5 linked regions of the Oryctolagus cuniculus genome follow. The protein of the gene in region 2 binds, or shares a complex with, the protein of the main gene of each other region. Links are inferred from orthologs where the notes say so. Each region holds a gene or a part of one and is shown on either strand. Other genes may lie near its edges.

Region 1 (4,666 bases), on a different chromosome or scaffold from region 2:
GGAGTGGAGTCTGAGGCTGATGGGGACCCCCGACATCACGGGGTGGGTGGGGCATCTTGGCCCTGGCCCTGTCCTTCCTTCCCCTGGTCCTAAAAGGGAGCCCCATTACCATCACCAAATGAACATCCGATGGGCCTGGACTCAAGTCGGGGCGGTGGGGGGGGGTGTCCTGGGAGAGATCAAAGTCACTCTAGGGAGTGAGCGACCCCTTCGGGCTACAACAGGAAGGCTTCCTGGAGGAGGGGGCACTGGAGCTGGGCCTGGAGGCTTTAGACACTTGGATGTGGGAAGGAGAGCCCTGTAGCAGGGGGAGCAGCTGGAGCAACGGCCTCGAGGAATGTGCACTGAGCTGCAGGGGCTGGGGCAACCACGGAGGCTGGAGCAGACCACAGAGGCCTTGAACGCCGTGCTCAGGGGCTGGGAGGTGTCCGTCAGGCAAGGCTTCCCTCTGAGTCTGACCCCCTCCCACTCCCCACTCCTCAGGTGCAGCCCTGCCCGCACAGCCAACCAGAGGCCGGGGCCTGGAGGGCGGGGGGCACAGAGGGCACTGCAGACACCCTGGCACCCCTGTCCCTTGGTGTCTGGGTCCTCTGGGTTCCTCCGCTCTCCCTCCCCGACCTGCTGCTCCCCCGCCCAGTCCTCTCCATCTCCCTCTCCCTCTCCCTAGAGGCGCAAGTTCAAAGCCAGCTCTCCCCCCTGACTCTCCTTCTCCCTTCTAGAAGCCTCCCTGGGTGGCTGGTAGACTGGGACCCTAACTGCCCCCACCCCGGAAGTGCCGGCAGGGGGCGGGCTGGCCCTGCCCCCCGCCCCCAAGCTGCCCCCTCCCCCAGCTCCGGGCAGCCCGCCCCGCACTCACACGGTGGGGATGTACTCTCCCGGGAAGGCGTTGGTGGTGTAGCTGATGAGAAGGCAAGTCTTCCCCACGGCTCTGCAAGACGGAAGGTGAGGGGGCGTGGTCACCGGCGGCCCCTGGGGAGACCCAGTGCAGCCAGCCCACGCCTCCGGGCCGGGGTCTCCCGCTCCCAGGCGTCCCGTGTGGCTTTTCTGCACCCTGAGTCTGTAGAAGTCCCCGGGGTTGTGGGAAAGTGCCGACTTCGGGGTCCCGTCCCCCGGGTGCCTGACCCACGCCCGGCAGAGCCGTGAATCCGCGTTCGTAACAGAAGCTTCCCCGGGCGCAGGTGACACGGGACAGGCCGGGCAGAGCAGAGGGGGCCGGGGGGCTGGGCCCTCACCTTGTGCTCCAAATCCCAGCTCCACCCCCTACCCAGTGGCCCGACCTTCGGTCAGCACCCTCTGCCTGTTTCCCCACAGCGGGGACAGGGATGTGTCCATCTTCCAGGCAGCGTGCTGAGACGTGAAACAGACGATGCCCATGGCCGCCACCGACTGCTGGGAGAGCCGGGGGCCCCTCCCCACACCTCCTGCAGCCTCGCGGTGAAGGGGCCCGCAGGTTTGGGACCCAGAGACGCCTGCGTTCAAATGCTGGGCGGTCCCGGGCAGAATACGGAACTTCTCTGAGCTTCAAGTTTCCCCCGTCAAATGAGCCTAAACATTAGAGCTGGCGAGAGACCAAGCTAGGGGAAGTTGACTAAGTCCGGTGCCCGGTATACAGTAGGGGGTAAATAGATGGTGAGCCTCGTTATCACACTGTCTCCCCCTTAGCCTGCGGGGCTGCGGGCAGGGGCACAGCAGCTGAGCGCGAGGCCCAGAGGCCAAAGGGGCGGCCACGGGCTTTCCCCTGCCTGCTTGGTTTGTCACTTCCCGTTCCTTGCGCGGGCTGCTGGCCCCATCCCCCCTGCCACCTCCGCCGTCCCCAGGGCCACCAAGGTAACTCCGAATGGCTGGAAGTTTCCCCTTGACTTCTGCCCTCCCCCTGTCGCCTCAGACCCAAAGCAGAAGTAAGCAGGACAGGCGGGCTGACATGACCTGGCCGTGCACCAGATGCACCAGAGGCAGCCTGAGCCACGGGCGGGGCAGAACCTGGGCCGGGGCGGCTGCAATCCAGGTCAGAGAAGACCCTCGTCTCCAAGGCCTCCGGCTGCCGCTCTGCAGAGGGGAGAGCTGGACAGAGGCCCCGCCCAGCTCCAGGCGGCTGGGACAGATTGACAGGGAACCCAAGACCTGCCTGAGGGTGGGGCCAAGGGCTGGCGACTGACCACCCATCTCACAGATGGGGACATTGAGGCCCACCGGGGCCACGGAGTTCTGACAACCGACAGGGGCCCTCAGTCCAGCCTGCCATGCAGGCCAGCCCCCAGCAACCCTGGGGGCAGAGGCCTCCCTCCGATCACCAAACGTGAGCTTCAGAGAGGTGCAGTGAACCGCCCGAGGCCACACAGCACACCCCGCCAGTGCCTCCAGCCCAGGTCACCGCCAACGTTTTGCTTCCTCCCCTCTGACCTGCACCCCCTAGGGGTGAGGACTGAGGCCCACCACCCCCAGGAGACCTGCCCCCAGCTCAGGGGGGCAGGGAGGAGCCGCAGACACCCCCACCTGCCATCCTGTACCCTCCACCCAGGCGGCTTCCGGGGTGCGGTGGGGAGGGCTGAGTTCAGCTTCTCTCTCCCCGGCCCACCCTAGGGGGCTCCCTCTGGGCCCTGGGAAAAGAAGGAAGCAACTCCCGATGGCTGTCACCCAGCGATGCCCGCGTCGGCAGGGCAGGGGCTCCCCCAGCGTGCCCCAGGGCGGGAGGGTCTCAGGGTGGCCCAACGGGGGCTGTAGGAGGCAGGCCAGGTACCTACCCATCGCCCACCACCACACACTTGATGGCCTGCATCCTGTCCGGGGCCTGGGGGGCGGCAGCAGAGACAGCTGAGGGCCGGTGGGGGCTCCTGCAGGCACCGGAGCTGTGGAGAGCCTGGGAGGCACCGGCCGAGCAGCAACGGCGACGGCGGCGGTGAGACGCGAGGCAGGAGGAAGCGGAAGCAGAACTTAGCCAAGCCGCTGTCCCACGGCCGTTTGCAGAAGGCGGGGCATGCGGTCTGGCGGAGCAGCTGGGGGCACCGCAGGTGCCGGGCCCGGCCCTGGCCACCCCTCCCACACACACACAGGCGCCCTGTCCCGGGGCTCCCGCAGGAGACGTGGGGGCCCGAGGGGCAGCGCCAGAAGTTGCCCTCTAAGGACTTGAGGCTTCCAAGCATACAGTTGACCCCATTTCTGAGCATAAGCACGTAATGAGTGCCTTCTGTATGCCAGGCACAGTGCCAAGTGCTGGTGGTGAGGCCAAAGCGCAAGGGGCCCAGCCCCTCCCTGGGGCTCACACTCCTCGTGGAAGGAAAGAGTCGGCCTCATTACAGGTGTCCGTCAACCCAGACAGGAAGTGATGGAGCCCAAGGGATCTGCGGAGAGCAGTTACCCCCAGAGAGCTGGGGCCTGCAGGCCGGCATTGCAGCCGGTGTCCAGAAGAGGGCGCTCTAGCAGGAGCCCTGCTTTAGCCAGGACTCAGAGCGGGGGCTCCCCGAGCAAGGGCCTGTGTGGGAGTCCCTGGGGAGGAGGATGGAAAATGTAGGGGAGGGAGGTGAGGTGGGGTCAGCTGACGGAGAAGGGAAGCAGCAGGCAACGCCCTACGCGGGCCAGCCCTGGGGACTTGCGCCCCGAGGCCAGGCACCACGGCCCATTCTGTGGGTGCGGAAACTGAGGGTCTGAGAAGCCAGGCGGCTCCTGGGTCGTCTGCAGCCCAGCTGCTGCTTGGAGGGGGAGGGGCAGAGCCCGAGTCCTCCAGCCCAGGGGTGGGGATGGAGAGTGAGTGCTCCCCTTGTCACGAGGGTGCTCCAGGGAGATTAGGGAAGCGCGGGACCTCCCAGCTGGCTCCAAGTGTGGGGTTCATGGCTGCTGCTCCCACCCCCAGCACCTTTCCAGCCCCCGGGGCGGGGGGGAGAGGGCAAATGTTTGGGCCCCCGCTCCCACGTGGGAGACCTGGGTGGAGTCCTTGGCTCCTGGCTTCAGCCTTGGCTGTTACAACCATTTGGGGAGCAAACCAGCAGATAGAAGATCTCTCTCTCTCTCTCTCTCTCTGTAACTCTGCCTTTCAAATAAATACATCTTTTTTTAGAGAGAGAGACATGTGGTGAATGCAAAGCGGCGTCCTGAACTGCAGACGGAACAGAAAAAGTGGCCAAGCCACCCGCTGCGATGGCTGCGCCGGAACACGCCTCTGCTCGGGCGGGCGCCCATGGCCGCAGAACAGGCGTCAGCACGGACACAGACGGGTGAGCTCTTCCACCGTCTGCAGCCTTTCTCTACATCGAAAATGGTCCCGTGGATGTGGCCGCCGCCTTCCCCCTCCTCTCACTCCCCCGACATCCGCGCCTCCTCTGCCAGCCTGCCCAACCCCTCACGGCTGTAGACAGAAGCTCCAACTGTCCCCCTGCTCCAGGAAGCCCAAGCAACACGTGTCCCTGACCCAAAGCCACCGACGCCGTCCCTCATTCAGAACCCATCAGTCCCATGCCGCGTGCATGCCCAGCTCTGGGCTTGGTGCCTCCGTGATACCAGACACGGGCGATAAGGAAACTCCCCCAGGACGTACAACCTGCCCTGAGGGCAACACAGCACCCGGGACTGCTTCCGCCGGATGTTCCGGATCTGCAGGTGCACCTGGGCCTGTGTGGACCGGCCACCGCAGGCAGGACGGGGAGGGAGGCAGCTGGGATGACGGCAGTGATGT
Region 2 (4,691 bases):
ATCAGAAGTGGGGCAGCCGAGTCTCGAACCAGCGCCCACATGGGAGCAGGAGCTGCAGGCTGGGGCTTCCCCCGCTGAGCCACAGCGCCGGTGCCTAAATTTCTTTTTAAAGTCACCCTGTCCTCTCAGTGCTCTGGGGCCCTGGACCATGTCTGCTCCTCTGGCTGCGTGGAGCCGGGGTGCCCCTCGCCCCGGCAGCTCGTTCTGGCACCCTCGATGCTCCGTGTCCATCTCCACATCTGGACGCCGCTGGCACGGGGCTGGCGCAGCCGGGCGGAGGCGGCGAGTGGCACGTTCGTGCTCGGTGACCTCATTCTCTGACAGCGTCGGCGTCCTGGCCCTGTCCTCGCTCCGTGTGGCCATTCCTGGTTCTGCTTTGGTGCTGTCCTCATCAGACAGAAGCCGGCGCTCGGCACCTGGAGCTCCCCGCAGCCCCGGCCAGAGCGGCAGTGCCCGCTGTGCGCACGCGATCGGCCCCTGGCGCTCACTGCTGGCTCCGTCCCGCGAGTGTCCTTCCCGCTGTCCAGGCAGCTGGGGCCCAGTGGGGTCTCCCACGTTGAGACCGGTGCTGCGAGCAGCGTGCCTGCCCCTGGGCTCACCTGGCCGACCCTCTAGGGGCCAGAGTGTCCGTTGCCCCGCTGCCTGCCCACCCGTCAGGCGACACGACCCCGCGATGTCACAGCCCCTCCGGAGCCGACCTCGGTGTCCACCTCCACCACCCCGCCCCCAGCCAACAGCCTCTTCCTCCCCACAACCCCCGCTTCCCTGGGGTCCCCTTCCGCCTGGCTGGGGCGTGGCCTCCTGTGCGGGCAGTGGGTGTGGTGGCCACGTGGCCCGTGGGTCCTGCACTCGGGAGCGGCCTTGGCTGTGTGTGGGCGCCTGCTGCGGTGCTGGGAAGCTCACTGGCCACCGAGTGTTCCGGATGTGCTGCCGTGGCCTGCGGCCCGCGTGTCCACGCGGAGGACGCCGGCTCATCCTTGTCACCCTCGGCCGTGTGCCTGGAGCTGTCGCCACGCGTGTGGCGGTGCCTGCGCTGTGCCCGCGTCCACGCTGTGAGGCTCCCAGCTCAGCTCATCCACTGCGTTTTCCTCGCTTTGTTGCTTTTGGTTTTGAAAAATTTATTTTCATTTTATTTGGAAGAAAGAGGTCTTCTGTCTGCTGGTTCACTCCCCAGATGCCCGCCATGGCCAGGGCTGGGCCAGATCAAGCCAGGAGCTTCTTGCGGGTCTCCCACACGGGTGCAGGGGCCGGGCCTCTGGGGCCGCCTTCGGCTGCTTTCCAGGCCACAGCAGGGAGCTGGGTGGGAAGTGGAGCGGCCGGGCTACCCGCCAAGGGCTCTCCTTCACTGCACCTGTGGCCAGGCAGACCCCCCACCCCCACGTCCCTCCGCTCTGGAGGTGTCTTAAACACGCTCCGCCCCTGCACACGCGTGCGGCCCTGTGCATGGCGTGGGCCGGCTGTGCCCTGCCGAGTCCTCTGTGAGGCCTGTCGGGGCGGTGCTCACCGGTCCTCAGGCCCACACGTGGCGTGGCCGAGGGCTGGGGTCTGTGCTGGCCGGAGACCCCCGAGCTGCCCTCCTGGTCTGACTCCAGCATCCTGCCCGAAGCCCGGCCTCGGCTGAGGCCCTGGACGCCCGCTGCCTAAGCGCCCGTCCCCGAGGGCAGCCCCAGGCCCGGGCTGCGTTCTCCCCCCAGGTCTCCCCGCTTTTGTTGGTGCAGACTTCCTGAGCCGGGTCCGAGCTCGGCTACATATTAACTTTCTTGGTGCGCATTGGAGCGTGTGCTGGGGAGGAGGGCAGCTTCCCCATGCGGTCACCCAGTCGCCCGGTGTGGCTGACTCATCTCCAGGGCGGAACGTCCCCTTTCGGGGCCTCCTGTCTATCCGCCACGGGGCAGAGCCGCTGGCTGCACCTGCAGCCCTGAGCTAACCCAGTTCCAGCAGTGACCGGAGGCACCGCCGTGGGCTGGCGGGGGCTCGTGGTCTCGCGTGGGGAGACTAAAGCCAGCGCCGAGGCTGTGGGCTGGCGCAGAGTGGGGCACAGGGGACAGCAGTGGGGCCTGGGAGCAGGGGACGTGGGCAGAGGAAGCGGTTTCCTGGCGGGGTCCCCGTGCCGCTGGTGAGGAGGGAGGCAGGGGCTGGCGCGGCCAGAGCTGCTCCGTCCCTGGTGGTCGTCCCCGTGCGGGCTGCCGACGGCCCGGACAGCCCCAGGAGGAGCAGGGCAGGAGGCCTGGGAGACGTGCCGGCAGGTGTCCCGCTGACCCCTCGTGACCTCTCTGGCCTGGATGGGAGTGGGCGCCTGTGGTCGCTGCTCCTCTAACAGGCATCGGAACCAAGCCCCCCCCCCCCCGCTGTCTGCCTCCTGGGGGCGTCCTGGGAGGGAACAGGGGGTCTGGCACAGAGCAGGGGCAGTGGGTGAGGGTCCCGTGGGGCCTCCCTACACTGACCTGCCATGTTCTCAGCCATGGGGATTAACAGGAGGCCGTGGGCGCCTGCCCCACAGCCTGTTCAGGGTGTGGCCCTCCAAGCTCACTGTCCCCAGTGCACAGGGCATGGCCCTGAGCTGGGACCCTTCCCACCCCCCCACATGCTCCCTCCCGAGGGTCAGGTCGGGTCGCAGCTGAGCTGGGCGGTTCCTGGGGGCTGGGCCTGCACGGGTTGGGAGCTCTCCCAGTACCCGGCCCCAGGCCCCTGGTAAAGCAAACCGGGCAGCACGGCGCTCTGGGCGGGTCACCGTCGCCTAGCCCTAACCCCGCTGACCCTGCCGGGCACCCGGTGCAGGGGTCGTGCCGCTGGGGACCCCTGCCCGGCTCCGCCTCGGGACCCTCCCCCGTGACCCCGCATCGTCGTCCCTGGGAGTTTCCCAGCCAGGCGGGGCGGCGGCTCCCGGAACCACCGGGCGCAGCAACACTTCCGCAGGCAGCTTCCTCCTCCGCGGGGCGGGGGCGGGGGCGCCGTGCTCCCCCTGCTCCCGGGCCGCAGCGACCCCCGCCCCACCCCACGATCTCCGCCCGCCCACACCATCAGGATCTCGGCCCGGGCCCAGCGGCCGGGCTCGCACTCACTCAGGCCGGACGCCAGCGCCTGCTCGTTAGCCCACATGGCCCACTCGATCTGCCCCATGGCGGTCGCCAAGGCTCACTGAGGCCCGCGCCGCCGCCGCCGCCGCCCGCCGCCGCCGGGTCGGCCCCGCCCCGCCCTCCGCCCCGCCCCCGCCCCGCCCCCCGGGCCGACCTCCCGGGCCGCAGCTGGGCCGCCTGCGGACGGCTCCCTGCCCCAGGCCCCCCCCCAGCTGTGCCCCTGCCCCCAGCTCCTCTGCCCATCCCGCGTGTGGCCCGGGGCTCCCAGGGAGCCGGCCTGTGCCGCCCCAGGACAGGGCAGCGCCCCCACACGGCGGGGACCAGGGGTCCCAGCACCGCTTCCTCCCCGCCCTGGGCTGCCGGGCTCCCTCCCTGGGGAGGCGGATGTGCCCCTGGCCCTGGACACGCCCAGCAGCAGGGGCCACAGCCCTGGGTGAGGCGGGCGGCCGAGCAGGTAGACCCCGCCCTGACGGACACCACCCCACCCCCGCCCTGAGCACTGGGCGGGACCCTCATCGCCCTCCAAGCCGAGGGCTGTCCACGGGGCAGGCCTGCTGGGGCTGTCGGGAAGGCGTGCGGGGCAGGCGGTCAGCGATGCTGGCTTTATTCCGGGGCGGTCACCACAGCTCCACCTGACACACGCCCCGCCCGCAGCCCCGCCGGCTGGCGAAGGGCCAGTCCACCTGCACCGGGCCAGCGTCCAGGGCCGGGCTGCAGGCCCAGCACGAGCGGTGCTGCGGCTTGAGGGGCAGCCCCGGCCCCTCCGCCCAGACGCCACGCAGCTGCAGGGGGCCGCTGACGCGCCCGTCACGCTAGGGGGGTCCGGTCACGCAGCGGGCCTCGGCAGGCCGTCGGAGCCCAGGAGGTGCGCGTCGGGGTCCCGCAGGACCTGAGGCCCCGGCCCCACCTGAGGGAGGGAGGGAGGGCGGAGGTCGGAGGCCGCAGGCAGGGGACCAGGTGCAGGCCCCACCTCCCGAGTCGACCAGGAGCCGAGCCCCCGCTGCCCGCTGCCCGCTGCCCGCTGCCGGGCGCCTGGCTCGGGTCAGCACTGCGCACGGGTCTCGCAGCCCTGAGCAGGGGGCGTGGCACTGGCCAGTCTGGGCAGGCTCGGGGTGGACCCCGCCGCAGCCCCGCCCACTCAGTCCCACCCCCACCCAATGACGTCACGCAGAGGGCCGGGCCTCACCTGGGTGGAGATGATGTACTTGATGCCACCGGGCGTGGGCTCCAGGGCCAGCGCCGCCTTGAGGTCGTCTGGGAGAAGTGCAGGCGCCACCTGCAGGCCCTTCACGAACCTGGGAGACAAGGCGGGCACACGCGTGTGCGGCCACACGGCAGCGCAGGAACATACGCGTGTGCAGGTCTACACAGGGCAGCGCAGGAACACACGCGTGTGCAGCCACACACACAGGCAGCATCCATTCAGGCAAGTCCTTGGAGGCACAGCGGCCGGGATGGGGATGGGAGCCCCACGGCCCCTCCGTGGCTGACACGGTCAGCCCTCGGCCCACTCTACCAAGACACAAGGCAGAGCTCGCCAGGGCCTGGCCAGGGTCCCCTAGGGGAGGGTCTCAGAAACCAGGAGGCTCTGGCTCGCTCCTGGCCCCTCGGGGC
Region 3 (4,702 bases), on a different chromosome or scaffold from region 2:
ACCTAAGCCAGACGCTACTCAAAGTCATTACTGATACTCATTTTATACCCATTGCCAATTATACTGCTATATCGGGAGTAGTCCACTAGAACACAGGTGGGCCCGGCGCTGTGGCACAGTGGGTTACAGCCCCGGCCTGCACACTGGAGTCCCATATTGGGATGCTGACTGTTTGACTGAGTCCCAGCTGCTCCACTTCTGATCCAGCTCCCTGCTGATGCACCTGGGAGAGCAGCAGCAGATGGCCCAAGTGCTTGGGCCCCTGCATCCACGTGGGAGTCCTGGAAGAAACTCCTGGCTCCAGCTGTTGTGGCCATTTGGGAAGTGAACCAGAGGATGGAAGACCTCTCTCTCTCTGTCTACCTCTTTCTGGAACTCTTTCAAATAAATAAAATTAAATTAAAAAAAAATAGCCAGCTGATCCCAGTTATAAAATGGTTAAAACTCAGCTTGCTTCCAATTTGTGGTATCTCCACCTTTTGCCTTCACTGTTTAAACACCTTTAACTGAAACTCGGGGCCATATTTACAGCTTTAACAATCTGATAAAACAACATTCCAGCAGTATCATCAGGAATATAGCTTACCAGTCGAAAGCAGAAATATATTCTTGGTACGGAAAATTTGGGATTTGGATTTTTACTGAAGAAATGTTTGCTACGTATGACCCCTGAGAGTAACAGTGTAACTTTTTTTTTTTGGCAAAAGTTCACTTTACTCCAATACTACTTAAGACAGTCAAGAGTCAACATAAATGTCAAACCCTCATTAAAATACCGTGGGGACAAGCCTTTGCGACACTGGCACCCCACAGCGCGGTGCCGGGCTTCGATTCCTTGCTGCAGGCCCCAATTCCAGCTTCCTGCTAGTGTGAACCCCGGGAGTGGTGGTGACGGCTCATGTAGTTGGGTCCCTCCTGTCCATGAGCAAGACCTAGAATGGGTTCTCAGATGCTGGTTACAGGTATGTTGGGGGTGAGCTGGTGGGTAGGAGCTTCTTCTCTCTCAAGTAAATTTTAAAAATTAAATTAGAAAGCAGACGGGAAATTCCAGGGCGGGAACAGTGTTTTGAATACTCATACTCCCTCACAGAGCCTCACACAGTGCTGGTCCTGGTCACTTCCAGGCAATCAGTAGAGGCCTGGCCCCTGGGAGGGGCTTGCCAGCCAGCCCCCTGCATGATTTCACTGAACTTCCCAAGGAGGAACCTCTCTGGGGGAGGGGAGGAGTGATGTGCTCTCAGACACCTCCCAACTAAGTGGTGAGATGTGGGCAGGACAGACACACACAGCAGGCATTCAACAAGTATTCACTGGAAGGAACAGCAGTACCAGCAGGAGAGGGCTGGGAGCTCTTCGTGTCAAACACCCTGGGTCCCTGCTTTAGAAACCTTCAAGTCAGAATACTACATTCCATCCCTCGGTTCTGAATTACCACAACTTCACTTAGAAAGAGAGCTAAGCATATCCTAAGCATAATCGATGGAGCATTTATAACTTTTAAGGGAAATCCAGGTCATTTTAAACGTTCCTAAGAAAAAGTGACGTTTTGCTGATGCCTGACACAAAAGCATGGAAGAATTCACTTAAAATAATCCGCTGACTTCATTTTCAATCCCACTTCACGAACGCTTTTCCCCAAGTGCCAAAGTAAGGTTTTCTTTTAAAAAGGTAACATAGCATACACATTCCTAAATAAATGAAATTTAACAATTTTTATTTGAATACGTAGAACTATACAGGGTTCACCTTTCCCACGTGTGACACGAATCCAACAGACATGCATCTCCCCAGAAAAACCAGTGTCCTAACTGTCCTCCTTGCATCCGAAATGCACAAACAATCTCAAACGTCTCCCATCAGTTCTCTAAGCTAAGAGATCACACATTCACTAAGAGGCATAAAAAAAAAAAAAAAAAAAAAGATAAAAGTCGGAAGGCCACTTTTGGGATATGAACCAGAGGTGTCCAGCGCACTCTTCCTCCGACTCTGGACTTGGACCAGTTGCATTCAGAGCTGGGTGAAACTGGTAGTAATTCTTCGAGAGTCCCTGTCCCACACTAAGCTACACAAGCAATGCTGAGACGCGCGATTTTGCTCGGATCACACTGGGATTCTTGTTTATAAGGGAGGGAAAAACACACACACACACACACACACACACAACTGCATAAGACCGGTCTTGTCCTCCTCTGGGGCCTGTAACCCCCACGGGCGGTCCTGGAAAGAACTCCATCCATCCCTGCCGCGCTCAGCCAAGGCCTCGGTTTTTTAATTTTTATTTTTATTTATTTTTTTAAATAACGACCACATTGCAGGAGGTCAGCTTCCGTCACACCTGGCCCCTGACAGCATCTTCCAAACTTTGTCCACGCCAAGGGCGCCACCGACCATGTCGAAGAACCCCACAAGTGGCCAAGTTACAAGTGGCAGCGACGCGGCCGCACGCTGGGCTTCCGGTCACTCAGACCACTGGACCTCCGCCGCCCGCCCCGGCTCCCCGGGCTGGAGGGGTGGGGGTGGGGGGCGACCAGGAGGTTTAGGGTAAATGCCAGGGAACGGCCCCTTCTCGCCAAAATAAAATAAAATAAAATAAAATGATTTGCACAGGCGCCCGAGAGCCGTGCCAAGCCGGGCAGGGTGGCGGGCGGCGTCCGGCCGCCCCGCGGGCCCGGGAAGGCGGCGAGAGGGCGGAGTCCACTCTTGCCCGCGGCCGGCCAGCGGCAGGGCCCTCCCCCCACCAGGACGCCGCAACCCGGCCCGGGACGACGGCGGGTGAGGGGCGCCCGCCCGAGCCCCGCGCAGAGGCCGCGCGGCGCCCACGCGACCCTCGGCGAGCCCCCGCCGGCCCCCCAGAGCCCCCGGCCGCGCACTCACCCGTCTCCCACCACCACACACTTGATGGCCTGCATCTGGGCCGCTCGCTGGGCCGCGGCGGCGGCGGCGGCCGGGCGCTGAGGCGGGAAGCGGCGGGCGGACGGGCGCGCGGCGACGGGCGGGCGAGCGCGCGGCGACGGGCGGCGGGGCGCGGGATGCCGGAGCCACTGTCCACGCCGCCTCGCCCTCCGCGGACTGGAGGCACAAGCCCGGCAGCAGCCACCACCCAAAACGGAGGAAAACTGCAGAGAAACAGGAAATGGCCGCTCCACTCACATCCGGCCGCCCCTCCCCCGCGCCGGCGCCGCCGCTCCCAGGCTCCGGGAGGGGCCGCTCCCGCCCGAGCGGCTCCCGGGGTTCCTCGGGGCTTCGGGAGCGCTCGGGAACGCTCGGGAGCGCTCGGGAGCGCTCGGCTCCGGCCGCGGGGGCGGGGCGGCCGCCATCTTTCCCGCGGGCTGGGCGCGGCCGGGTTTGGACTGGGAGGGGAGGCGGGGGTTCCAGGAACCGCGCTGACGTCACCGACTCCCGGCCCGGCCGTCCGAAGGGCGTGGGTTGTTCCCCCACCTCTTTATTGTCCTGTGTGTATGGTCACTGTCACTTAGGCGATGACATAAGGGCCTTCTAGAAATTTCCGAAGCTGAAGCTATATAAAGAAGGAAAAAAAAAGAAACCATACCATTATTGGGCCATAATCAGTATTCATTCCATCATATTTCTTTTTTTTTTTTTTTTAAGATTTATTTATTTGAAAGAGTTACAGAGAGAAGATGGAGAGAGAGAGAGAGGTTTTCCACCCGATGGTTCTCTCCCAATTGGCCGCAATGGCCAGAGCTGGGCTGATCCAAAGCCAGGAGCTTCTTCCAGGTCCCCATGCAGGTGCAGGGGCCCAAGGACTTGGACCACCTTCCACTGCTTTCCCGGGCCACAGCAGAGAGCCACATCGGAAGTGGAGCAGCCGGGTCTCGAACCGGCGCCCATATGGCGCTTCAGACCTGGGCTTTAACCCACTGCACCACAGTGCCAGCCCCTCTCCATATTTCTTTTTTATTTTATTTATTTATTTATTTATTTATTTATTTATTTTTGACAGGCAGAGTGGACAGTGAGAGAGAGAGAGACAGAGAGAAAGGTCTTCCTTTGCCGTTGGTTCACCCTCCAATGGCCGCCGCGGCCGGCGCTCTGTGGCAGGCGCATCGCGCTGATCCGAATGCAGGAGCCAGGTGCTTCTCCTGGTCTCCCATGGGGTGCAGGGCCCAAGCACTTGGGCCATCCTCCACTGCACTCCCGGGCCACAGCAGACAGCTGGCCTGGAAGAGGGGCAACCGGGACAGAATCCGGCGCCCTGACCGGGACTAGACCCCGGTGTGCCGGTGCCGCAAGGCGGAGGATTAGCCTAGTGAGCCGCGGCGCTGGCCTCCATATTTCTTAATACACACAGTGAACATGTTTCAGGCAAGATTGAAAAATCATACTGAATCTCTAATATTTTTAATTGCGGCTTACTAGTCCATTGTACACATGTACCTTTTTAAAATTTTACTTTGTTCATTTATTTTGATTTTACTTGAAAGGCAGAGAGAGATCCTCCACCTGCTGATTCTTCCCTAAATACCTGCAACAGCCAGGGCTAAGTCAGGCCAGTCGGGAGTCGGAGCCCAATCTGAGCCTCCTGGGGTGCACATTAGCAGAAAGCTGCATCGGAAGCAGAGTTGGGACTGAAGCTCAGGCTGTATGATACGGCATTCAGCGTCCCAAGGGGCATCTTAATAGCTGTGCCATGCGCCTACCGTTTATTTAAATAATTCCCCTTTTATTAGGCAATTGAGTT
Region 4 (4,399 bases), on a different chromosome or scaffold from region 2:
AGGTCCAACACCCGCAGCGGACACCACCCCAGCGCCCACCCCGACTGCGCGGGCGCAGCGTCTCCGCCCCCGCTTCCCCTCCCTCCTCTCCTTCAGCTCTGACTCCTCTGAGCGTCCTGTGGTTGCCCCTAGCAACAGCCCAGTGCCTGGCTGTAGGGGCCTGCTGCTGACCAAAGGCGGCCCAGGATAGGAGCCAGCCCGCCCCACGCCTGGATGTCCTCGGGGCCTCCCCGTCCATCAACCTGCACCCCTGAGCATCTGCACAGCCTCCCCGTCCATCAGCCTCTGCCTACACGAGGCGCCCACCGTTGCCACTGCCAGGAAGTTCTAGCTCAGCCTGAGCCGAATTCCTGGCCACTGCCCCCGTGCACACTGGAGGAAGAACCCGCCCTGCAAGGCCAGTGTGCCACGCACCAAAGATCAGCAATTAAGGCTTAGAATATCGTCATCCGGTTGTTGATGAGGTTGGGATTAACTTTAAGTCTGTGAATGCTTCTCTTTTTACTAATTATCTCTTTCTTTTCTTTCTCTCTCTCTTTCTTTCTTTCTTTCTTTCTTGCTTTCTTTCTTTCTTTCTTTCTTTCTTTCTTTCTTTCTTTCTTTCTTTCTTTCTTTCTTTCTTTCTTTCTTTCTTTCTTTTCTTCTCCTTCTCCTCCTTCTTCTTTTTTTGACAGGCAGAGTTAGACAGTGAGAGACAGAGAGAAAGGTCTTCCTTCCGTTGGTTCTGCTCCCTAAATGGCTGCTACGGCTAAAGCTGCGCCGATCCGAAGCCAGGAGCCAGGTGTTTCCTCCTGGTCTCCCATAGGGTGCAGGGCCCAAGCACTTGGGCCATCCTCCACTGCACTCCCTGGCCACAGCAGAGAGCTGGACTGGAACAGGGGCCACCGGGACAGAATCCGGCGCCCCAACCGGGACTAGAACCTGGTGTGCCGGCGCCGCAGGCAGAGGATTAGCCAAGTGAGCCACGGCGCCAGCTTTTTACTAATTATTTCATGTGAACACTGTAAACACATCAAAAATGCAGGTAGGGGCCGGTGCTGCGGTGTAGCAGGTAAAGCCGCCGCCTGCAGTGCCTTCCTCCCACATGGGTGCCGGTTCTAGTCCCGGCTGCACCACTTCCGATCCAGCTCTCTGCTGTGGCCTGGGAAAACAGAAGATGGCCAAAGTTCCCCCGTGGGAGACCTGGAGGAAGCTCCTGGCTCCTGGCTGTCACGGCCATTTGGGGAGTGAACCAGCAGATGGAAGACTCTCTCTCTCTTTCTCCTCTCTCTCTCTCTCTGTATTTCTGGCTTTCAAATAAATACATAGAATATTTTTTAAAAAATCATTTACTCGTGTGGCAGAGAGGCGGAGTGACAGAGAGCTCGTATCTGCCAAGGTACTTCCTGCAGGTTAGGCTGGGCCAGGGCTGACGCCAGAGCTGGGAGTCCAGCCCAGGGCGCCCATGTGGATGGCAGGGACGCGATGCCAGTTCCTTGAGCCGCCACTTCTGCCCCGCAGCTTGCAGGCAGGCCGGAGCTGAGCTGCGCACTGAACCCGGATGCGGGCGTCGTGAGCACTGCCGGCCGCGGTCCAGCACATCTACCTGATGTGTTGCTCTATTCTCTCGTTTGCGGCTGGATTTTACTTCACCAGACGGACGTAACCAGGGATGAAGCCAGGCCGATGCGGTTTCACGGCACGCCTCGTCCCGCAGCGCACGGTGGGTGCCGTGCTGGCTGACCGTCAGGTCCCTGTGGCCGCCAGGCCACTGCGAGTGGCGGCTGCCTTGTGCCCCGGCGCAGCTCAGGCCTGCCCTCCCGCTGCCTCCCGCGCTGAGCTGTTGCACAGTTCCCAGTGCCCGGGGCCCTCACCTCTCCGTGCGGTGGTGCAGCATCCCCCGCTGGAAGTAGGCCACGGCCAGGTGCCTGTCCTTGCTGATGCTCTTGGTAAAGGCCTGCGGAGAGGGTGGAGGAGGTCGGAGGCCGCGGGCAGCGTTGGGCAGGGCACGGGTCAGCGCGCCTGTCACTTCCTCGTGGCGTGGCATGGGGCAAGTTCCCTACTCTCTAGCTGAGCCCTAGTTTTCTCCTCTGCATGAGGGGCGTGTTGCCTTTCAAGTTCACTGGATCAGGATACAATGGTTCATTATGAAAATTAAAGTAATAAATAAGAATTTACCCGGAAGGCTGGCAGCATGGGGCTTAGGCAGCCGAGGCAGGGAACAATCCAGACACAGAACGCGCGGGGACGCCCGGCACCCACACCCTCCAGGGCCTGCCCCGGCCGCGCCCTCCGCCGGGGTCTTGCCCGCTGACCCTCGGCTCTGCCTGCGGTGGGTGTGGCCCTGGCTGCGCTCAGGGCCTTGCGAGGATCCGCAGCAGCAGGCAAAGGTGACAGCTGACTTCCGAGACGGGGCGGCGCCTTCCTGCTCCGTGTCTCACGCAATCGCTGCGGTGTTTATGCCCTTGGAGACCCAAGGTGCAGGGAGGAGCGGCGCCGCCGTTTGCCTGGAGCGCTCCTGCTGCCGGACCCGGGGGCGTCTCCCTGGCCCTGACCCCACTGGCCCCCACTGGGGTACGCGAGAGGCAAAAGTACTTTAGAAGGTGCTCAGACCCCATCCCCAGCCCTGCCCTTGGCTGACGCCCTGTCAGTCACGGTTAGCTAGGCGCGCACTGGAGATGCAGCCAGCTCTTGGTGAGCCAGAGGGCCGGGCTGCCCTGGGGGCACCTCGTGGCCGGGACGGGGACAGAGACGGAGACGGAGCGAACCAGTGCCCCGTGGGTCAGGGCCATCACGGCTGAGAAGAGGGGGAAGAGGGACAGCCTGGCCCTGGTCACGGCTCCCGGCCTGGGCTGCCCACGCCCCTCCCGAGCAGCTGGGGAATTTTGGGAGCTGTGGCGCAGGCCCTGCCCAGGCCAGCTGGGCGGGGGCTCTGGGCTAATGCGGAAGCTCCCTGGAGATTTGGGTTCCGTGGCCACCAGCCCGAGGGCAGAGGCTGCGGACACTGAGGAGGTGGGAAGAGCCCTCACTCACCTTCTCTGCCTCAGGCAGGTCTCCCAGGATGGCGTGCACGCAGCCCACGTTGAAGCAGATCCGGGCGTGCGGGTCCTGGACTGCGCAGAGGGCGGCCAGGGCCCCCCTCCAGTCCTCCCGGTCAGCCGCCAGCACCCCCTCATTCCAGAGGCTGATGGCCTCCGCCAGGGACATGGTCAGGTGCAAGCAGGTGTCGGGAGCGGCCAGGGACGGGCGGTGGGGGCAGGACGGGCCCGGCTCCCCTTAAGAAGGCTCTGGTGTTGCAAAGGCAGCGGAAGTGGCCCCACCTTTCAGCCAACTGTGAGAGAGAAGGAACGAGAGGGCGGCGGGGGCGGGCGGGGGGCGGGCAGGGGAAGTACAGCAGGTGCCGTTGTCATGGGTCAGTTCCCCAAAACGCTCCGCTGAGTCTCCGCCTCCTCCTCTGGCTGCAGCCTCTGTGGGGCCCAGGGCAGCCGTGCCAGGGGTGGCTTCCCCAGCTCCATTGCATCCTGGGCTTGGGAGGCTGCGGGGCGGGCGCCTGGCTCCTCCCGGCCTCTCCCGGTCCCCGGCTCTCCTGCTCCTGACCCTGCGACGGCCGTGTCCTGTTGGTTTCATCTTGAGCCACACCAGCGACAGACACATCTCCCGGGGTCCATCTGCACCCGAGGTCACTCGGATGAGCACTCAGGAAGTCCGGGGCGGGAGCGACTGCCCACAAGCGCCTCCGCGTGGGATCCAGGTCGGCCACGAACGGCAATTTCTCCCATTTGTGAGCTGACGGGCTGCGGGCTGCACGGAGGCTGAGACTCCTTGCCTTGCTGAGGGACCACGGGGTCCTGGGGACAGCCAGCGTGACCTAGAGAGCCCCCCGCGGGGTCCTGGGGACAGCCGGCGTGACCTAGAGAGCCCCCCGCGGGGTCCTGGGGACAGCCGGCGTGACCTAGAGAGCCCCCCTGCTCGCTGTTAGGGCTCAGCCCCTGCTTCCTACCGGAAGGAACACACACATTCACACTGCAATTCTCCCAAGAGCCTAAGAAACCGGGGCGTGCGCTCCGCAGGCCGTGCCGGGCGGCGGGTGAGGGAGGGCCGGGGACATGCGTGTGAGCATCCGCACACCTTGCAGGGTCCAGCTGCCCACAGGCCTCGGCCCTGACCCCGCCTCCTCTGCACCTGACCGTGTCTCCTGGGCCTTCGTGTGTCCATCGTGGCCCTCAGCCCCGGTCCACCCACCCCTCCACGCCCTCCGTCAGCGAGGCTGCCCGCCTGACTGCATCTCCTGGGCCGCCCAGCCCCGCCCTGCCTGCCCGCAGTGGGCGCCTTGTCCATGGTCCTCACGGCTCGAGCAGTGAGGTTCTCATCACGCCCGATCCCGGCCCTTCAGGGCCTCCGTGTGGTTCTGAGGACGCCA
Region 5 (3,336 bases), on a different chromosome or scaffold from region 2:
TCACCTTCAAGCAATATTTGTTGATTCGTTTACAAATTATAACCAGATGAATGAGATCCCAGCAGAAAGAACGGGCCATCAAAGAAGAAGGCACCTTTCTCTGAAGGGAGGAAGGAACCTCCACTGTGATATGGCCTTGACTACATAAGTTCAGAGTTGGTGAACTCAAGAGGCTTCCATAGCCTTGACAGCTCATGGCAAGAGCCTGGGGTGATTACTGACATCATAAATAAGACTGTCAATTGTTAAATCAACAACGGGAGTCACTGTGCACCTGCTCCCCACGTAGGATCTCTGTCCTTAATGTGTTGTACTATGAGAATTAATGGTAAAACTACTAGTCGAACAGCACTCTATATCTTGTGTGGTTGTGTGGGTGCAGTCTGTTGAAATCTTTACTTAGTATATACTAAGTTGATCTTCTGCATATAAAGATAATTGAAAATGAATCTTAATGAAGAGTGGGATGGGAGAAGGAGTGGGAAATGGGATGGCTGCGGGTGGGAGGGAGGTTATGGGGGGAAAAGCCACAACAATGCAAAAGTTGTACTTTGTAAATTTACATTTATTAAATAAAAAATTTTAAAGAAGAAAAAAAGAAAGTACTTCAAAAAGTTTGTGGAAAAAGGAAAAAAAATTATAACCAGAAACTACTGAGAGTTGCTAAGAGTGCAGGTTCAGAAGCGTTCTGACTCTGCCACTTGTTGGGTTCTCTTAAGCAAATGACTGAATCTATTCTGGGCCTTGATTTCTTCATCTGAAAAATTTGAATAATAATAACCTTGGAGGGTTGTGGACAGGATAAAATAAGGCAATTTATGTAAATTCTAAGAATAATAGTGGGAACATAGTAAGCTGCCCCTTGGTGTCTGTCAGGTTTAGTTTCCACTCTCCCAGCACATCCCCAGCCCTGCTGAAGTTAGCAAATTCCGAATGTGAGGATGCTCAAGTCCCTTACATAAAATGAGGTAGCATTTGCAAGTACCGAAACACATCCTCCCATACACTTTAAATCATCTCCAGATTACTTATACCACCTAATAGAATGGAAATGCTGTGTAAATAAGTGCTATACTGTATTGTGTAGTGGATAATGATATGTTCAGTACAGATATGGAAAGCTGAGTGCATATGCTTAATAACTAGCAATGTATTGAGTATATTATAAAACAAGCATAAACATATAAATTAAAGGAATACCCATACACATACCAAGAGAGAGAGAATGAGGAAACTTTTTTTTCCCCATAATATAGTGGAGCATCTTACCCATTTTGTCTGAGACTAATCCTCTGGTGAGAACATTGCTCTAATAGTGTAATAGTCAAGGATTTTCTTCCTTTACAGGCTCTTTAGCTTTGAATGTAGTCTCAACAGTTTTAACATCATGTGGAGACAGAGTGAGAATAACTGGGATGGATTACTCAAACCATTAACTGATCTTGGAAAAAACAGGGCACGAAAAACACCAATAACAAAGGGGAAACTGGTAAGCCCTGGACACTACTGGAAGGACCTGAGATGTGGACCCTTGCCCTCACCTGGGACTCATCCCAGCCGGTGAGATAGATGTTGTAGCTGAGGAAGCCAGCATTGTTCCTCTCCTGCATCTGTGTCTCCAGCAGCTGCAGCAAGTCTGCAAACCACTCAAAGGCATGTGTGTCACGGCACAGCCAGTAGAAGTAGATCTGAAAGAGGCACAGATTATATTTAGATAGACTTGATCTTCGTTAACATGTGGATTTCTACTGTCCCCAAACCTTTTCCTGATGGTCAGGATGTCTAGCAGTACAGGTTTTCAGAAAGCTCTGGACCCAGCACAGGCTAGTTCACAGGATCTTGCTCTGGCCTTCACACTGGCAAGGCAATGAATAAATTAACCTCAGAAATACCTTTCCCTCTAGAGAACTATTCTCGCTTTCCCAGAATCCCTGGATTCCTTTGTCCTTCCTCTCAGAAAGGCCATTGGAATCTAGACTGGCACCAGCTAGTCTAGGCAAGATATATTAAAGATGTATTTCATCAGGCAATGAAACTAAATTCACATGTAACAAAAAATCCTCTGTGAATTGATCCTGAGAATATATCCATGAGAAAGTCAAAATGTCATGTTTCTTGCTTTATTCCTGCAAAATGTATTTGGGGAATAAGGGGTGGGGTAGAAATTGAATCAATCTCAATATCTAACACAGGGTGATGGAAAAATTGTTCTATGTTCTCTCAATGGAAAATGAAAGAATCATTGAGATTATCTTAAAGCCTGAACACACTTTCTATAATATATTTAGAAAGCCAGAATATGAAATTATACATACTCAATATTTATACCTTTTGAAAATATGTAAATATTAGAATACAATAGACAAAAAAGATAGCTATTGGTTTGCTGTTGTAAATGTCTTCACTGTTTCCCAACTTTCTTCTGAATTTCCAGTAATGATATACAAAACTAGCATATTGCTTTCACTAATAGGCCTTCTTATATGAGTATAGAGGTACGTTTAACTTACCCCATAGGCCTTTGAAAAGACATCTGCTTCTCTGGAACCACCTAATATTTCTCTTCACTTTTTCTGGCTTCAGCCAGCCTTAGCCCTTAACACACCCTTAGGCCTCACTTGGCAAAGTGTGATGACCACTCCAGGCCCTCCAGAAAATGAAGGAACATACCTTTTTGAGCCTCAGATTCGTGGCATTGTCACAATATTTGTACCAGACTGACTTGAGGATGGATGCAAAGGGCGTGACCCCAATTCCTGCTCCCACTAACATCACCACCTCATAGCTGAACACATCTTCACTTGCTGTGCCAAAGGGCCCATCAACTGCTATCCTGAAAGGAAGTGGAGAAGAAATTGTTACACAGATGGATTGTTCTTCATAGTAACATGGGACACCTGTTATTTTTGAGGATGTATAATATGTCTATTCAAACTGGGACAAAGTATCTATGGAAGGCTTCCTGCGAAATAGATTTCAAGCAACCAACTCAACACTCAACCCAACTATGTTGGGGTTGGATATAAGAAGACGACTTTTTAACTAACTTCAAAACATTTGGACTCTCAGTATGGGTATTTTTTTTGTTGCTTCACCACTCTTCACACACACACACACACACACAAACACCTGCATCTCTTGCTAGGGAATCACCACTTGAATTGTTGCTTACATTTTGAACATTGAAGCTAGAATTCTCTACTTCACACTGACATCTTGACATCTTCACATCTAACATCTTGTAGACTGAATATCCCCATTCTCCATTTGTCTATTCTTTGAACAATTATTAAGCAAGCTTTTCTTCAGAATTTATGAACTGCCTGATACTGTGTT

What was found.
Region 1: CYBA (region 2) and RAC2 share a complex: the UniProt entries of both Homo sapiens proteins name them as parts of the phagocyte NADPH oxidase complex. The link is inferred for Oryctolagus cuniculus from reciprocal best matches to the Homo sapiens genes CYBA and RAC2.
Region 3: CYBA (region 2) and RAC1 share a complex: the UniProt entries of both Homo sapiens proteins name them as parts of the phagocyte NADPH oxidase complex. The link is inferred for Oryctolagus cuniculus from reciprocal best matches to the Homo sapiens genes CYBA and RAC1.
Region 4: CYBA (region 2) and NCF2 share a complex: the UniProt entries of both Homo sapiens proteins name them as parts of the phagocyte NADPH oxidase complex. The link is inferred for Oryctolagus cuniculus from reciprocal best matches to the Homo sapiens genes CYBA and NCF2.
Region 5: the proteins of CYBA (region 2) and CYBB are in contact, whole or in part, in a cryo-EM structure (PDB 8X2L), measured with the Homo sapiens proteins. The link is inferred for Oryctolagus cuniculus from reciprocal best matches to the Homo sapiens genes CYBA and CYBB. Residues at the interface, in NP_000092.2 of Homo sapiens: Gln3, Ile4, Glu5, Trp6, Met8, Trp9, Glu12, Gln13, Ala16, Ile20, Thr23, Val27, Gly31, Phe33, Thr34, Gln35, Arg56, Arg59, Met65, Gly102, Phe103, Leu104, Leu105, Ala106, Ile108, Leu109, Ala112, Cys113, Ile116; in NP_000388.2 of Homo sapiens: Thr116, Ile117, Leu120, Phe121, Val123, Glu124, Asn128, Asn133, Lys161, Asn162, Pro163, Gly166, Leu167, Ala170, Val180, Thr183, Leu184, Ile187, Leu188, Thr191, Ser192, Thr194, Lys195, Thr196, Ile197, Arg199, Ser200, Tyr201, Glu203, Val204.

What each region holds. Positions count from the first base shown.
Region 1 is NC_091442.1:114,257,841-114,262,506, forward strand, and holds the start of RAC2 (ras-related C3 botulinum toxin substrate 2), read right to left. Parts: upstream 2,958-4,666; 5' UTR 2,777-2,957; coding exon 2,742-2,776; intron 929-2,741; coding exon 857-928; intron 1-856. UniProt on the Homo sapiens protein: Plasma membrane-associated small GTPase which cycles between an active GTP-bound and inactive GDP-bound state.
Region 2 is NC_091449.1:68,681,084-68,685,774, forward strand, and holds the start of CYBA (cytochrome b-245 light chain), read right to left. Parts: upstream 3,187-4,691; 5' UTR 3,121-3,186; coding exon 3,063-3,120; intron 1-3,062. Other genes in the region: MVD (diphosphomevalonate decarboxylase), read right to left, coding at 3,904-3,984, 4,264-4,372. UniProt on the Homo sapiens protein: Subunit of NADPH oxidase complexes that is required for the NADPH oxidase activity that generates, in various cell types, superoxide from molecular oxygen utilizing NADPH as an electron donor.
Region 3 is NC_091450.1:40,075,736-40,080,437, forward strand, and holds the start of RAC1 (ras-related C3 botulinum toxin substrate 1), read right to left. Parts: upstream 3,053-4,702; 5' UTR 2,910-3,052; coding exon 2,875-2,909; intron 1-2,874. UniProt on the Homo sapiens protein: Plasma membrane-associated small GTPase which cycles between active GTP-bound and inactive GDP-bound states.
Region 4 is NC_091444.1:1,499,062-1,503,460, forward strand, and holds the start of NCF2 (neutrophil cytosol factor 2), read right to left. Parts: upstream 3,211-4,399; 5' UTR 3,187-3,210; coding exon 3,013-3,186; intron 1,937-3,012; coding exon 1,854-1,936; intron 1-1,853. UniProt on the Homo sapiens protein: Subunit of the phagocyte NADPH oxidase complex that mediates the transfer of electrons from cytosolic NADPH to O2 to produce the superoxide anion (O2(-)).
Region 5 is NC_091453.1:23,819,019-23,822,354, reverse strand, and holds part of CYBB (cytochrome b-245 heavy chain), read right to left. Parts: intron 2,834-3,336; coding exon 2,671-2,833; intron 1,689-2,670; coding exon 1,542-1,688; intron 1-1,541. UniProt on the Homo sapiens protein: Catalytic subunit of the phagocyte NADPH oxidase complex that mediates the transfer of electrons from cytosolic NADPH to O2 to produce the superoxide anion (O2(-)).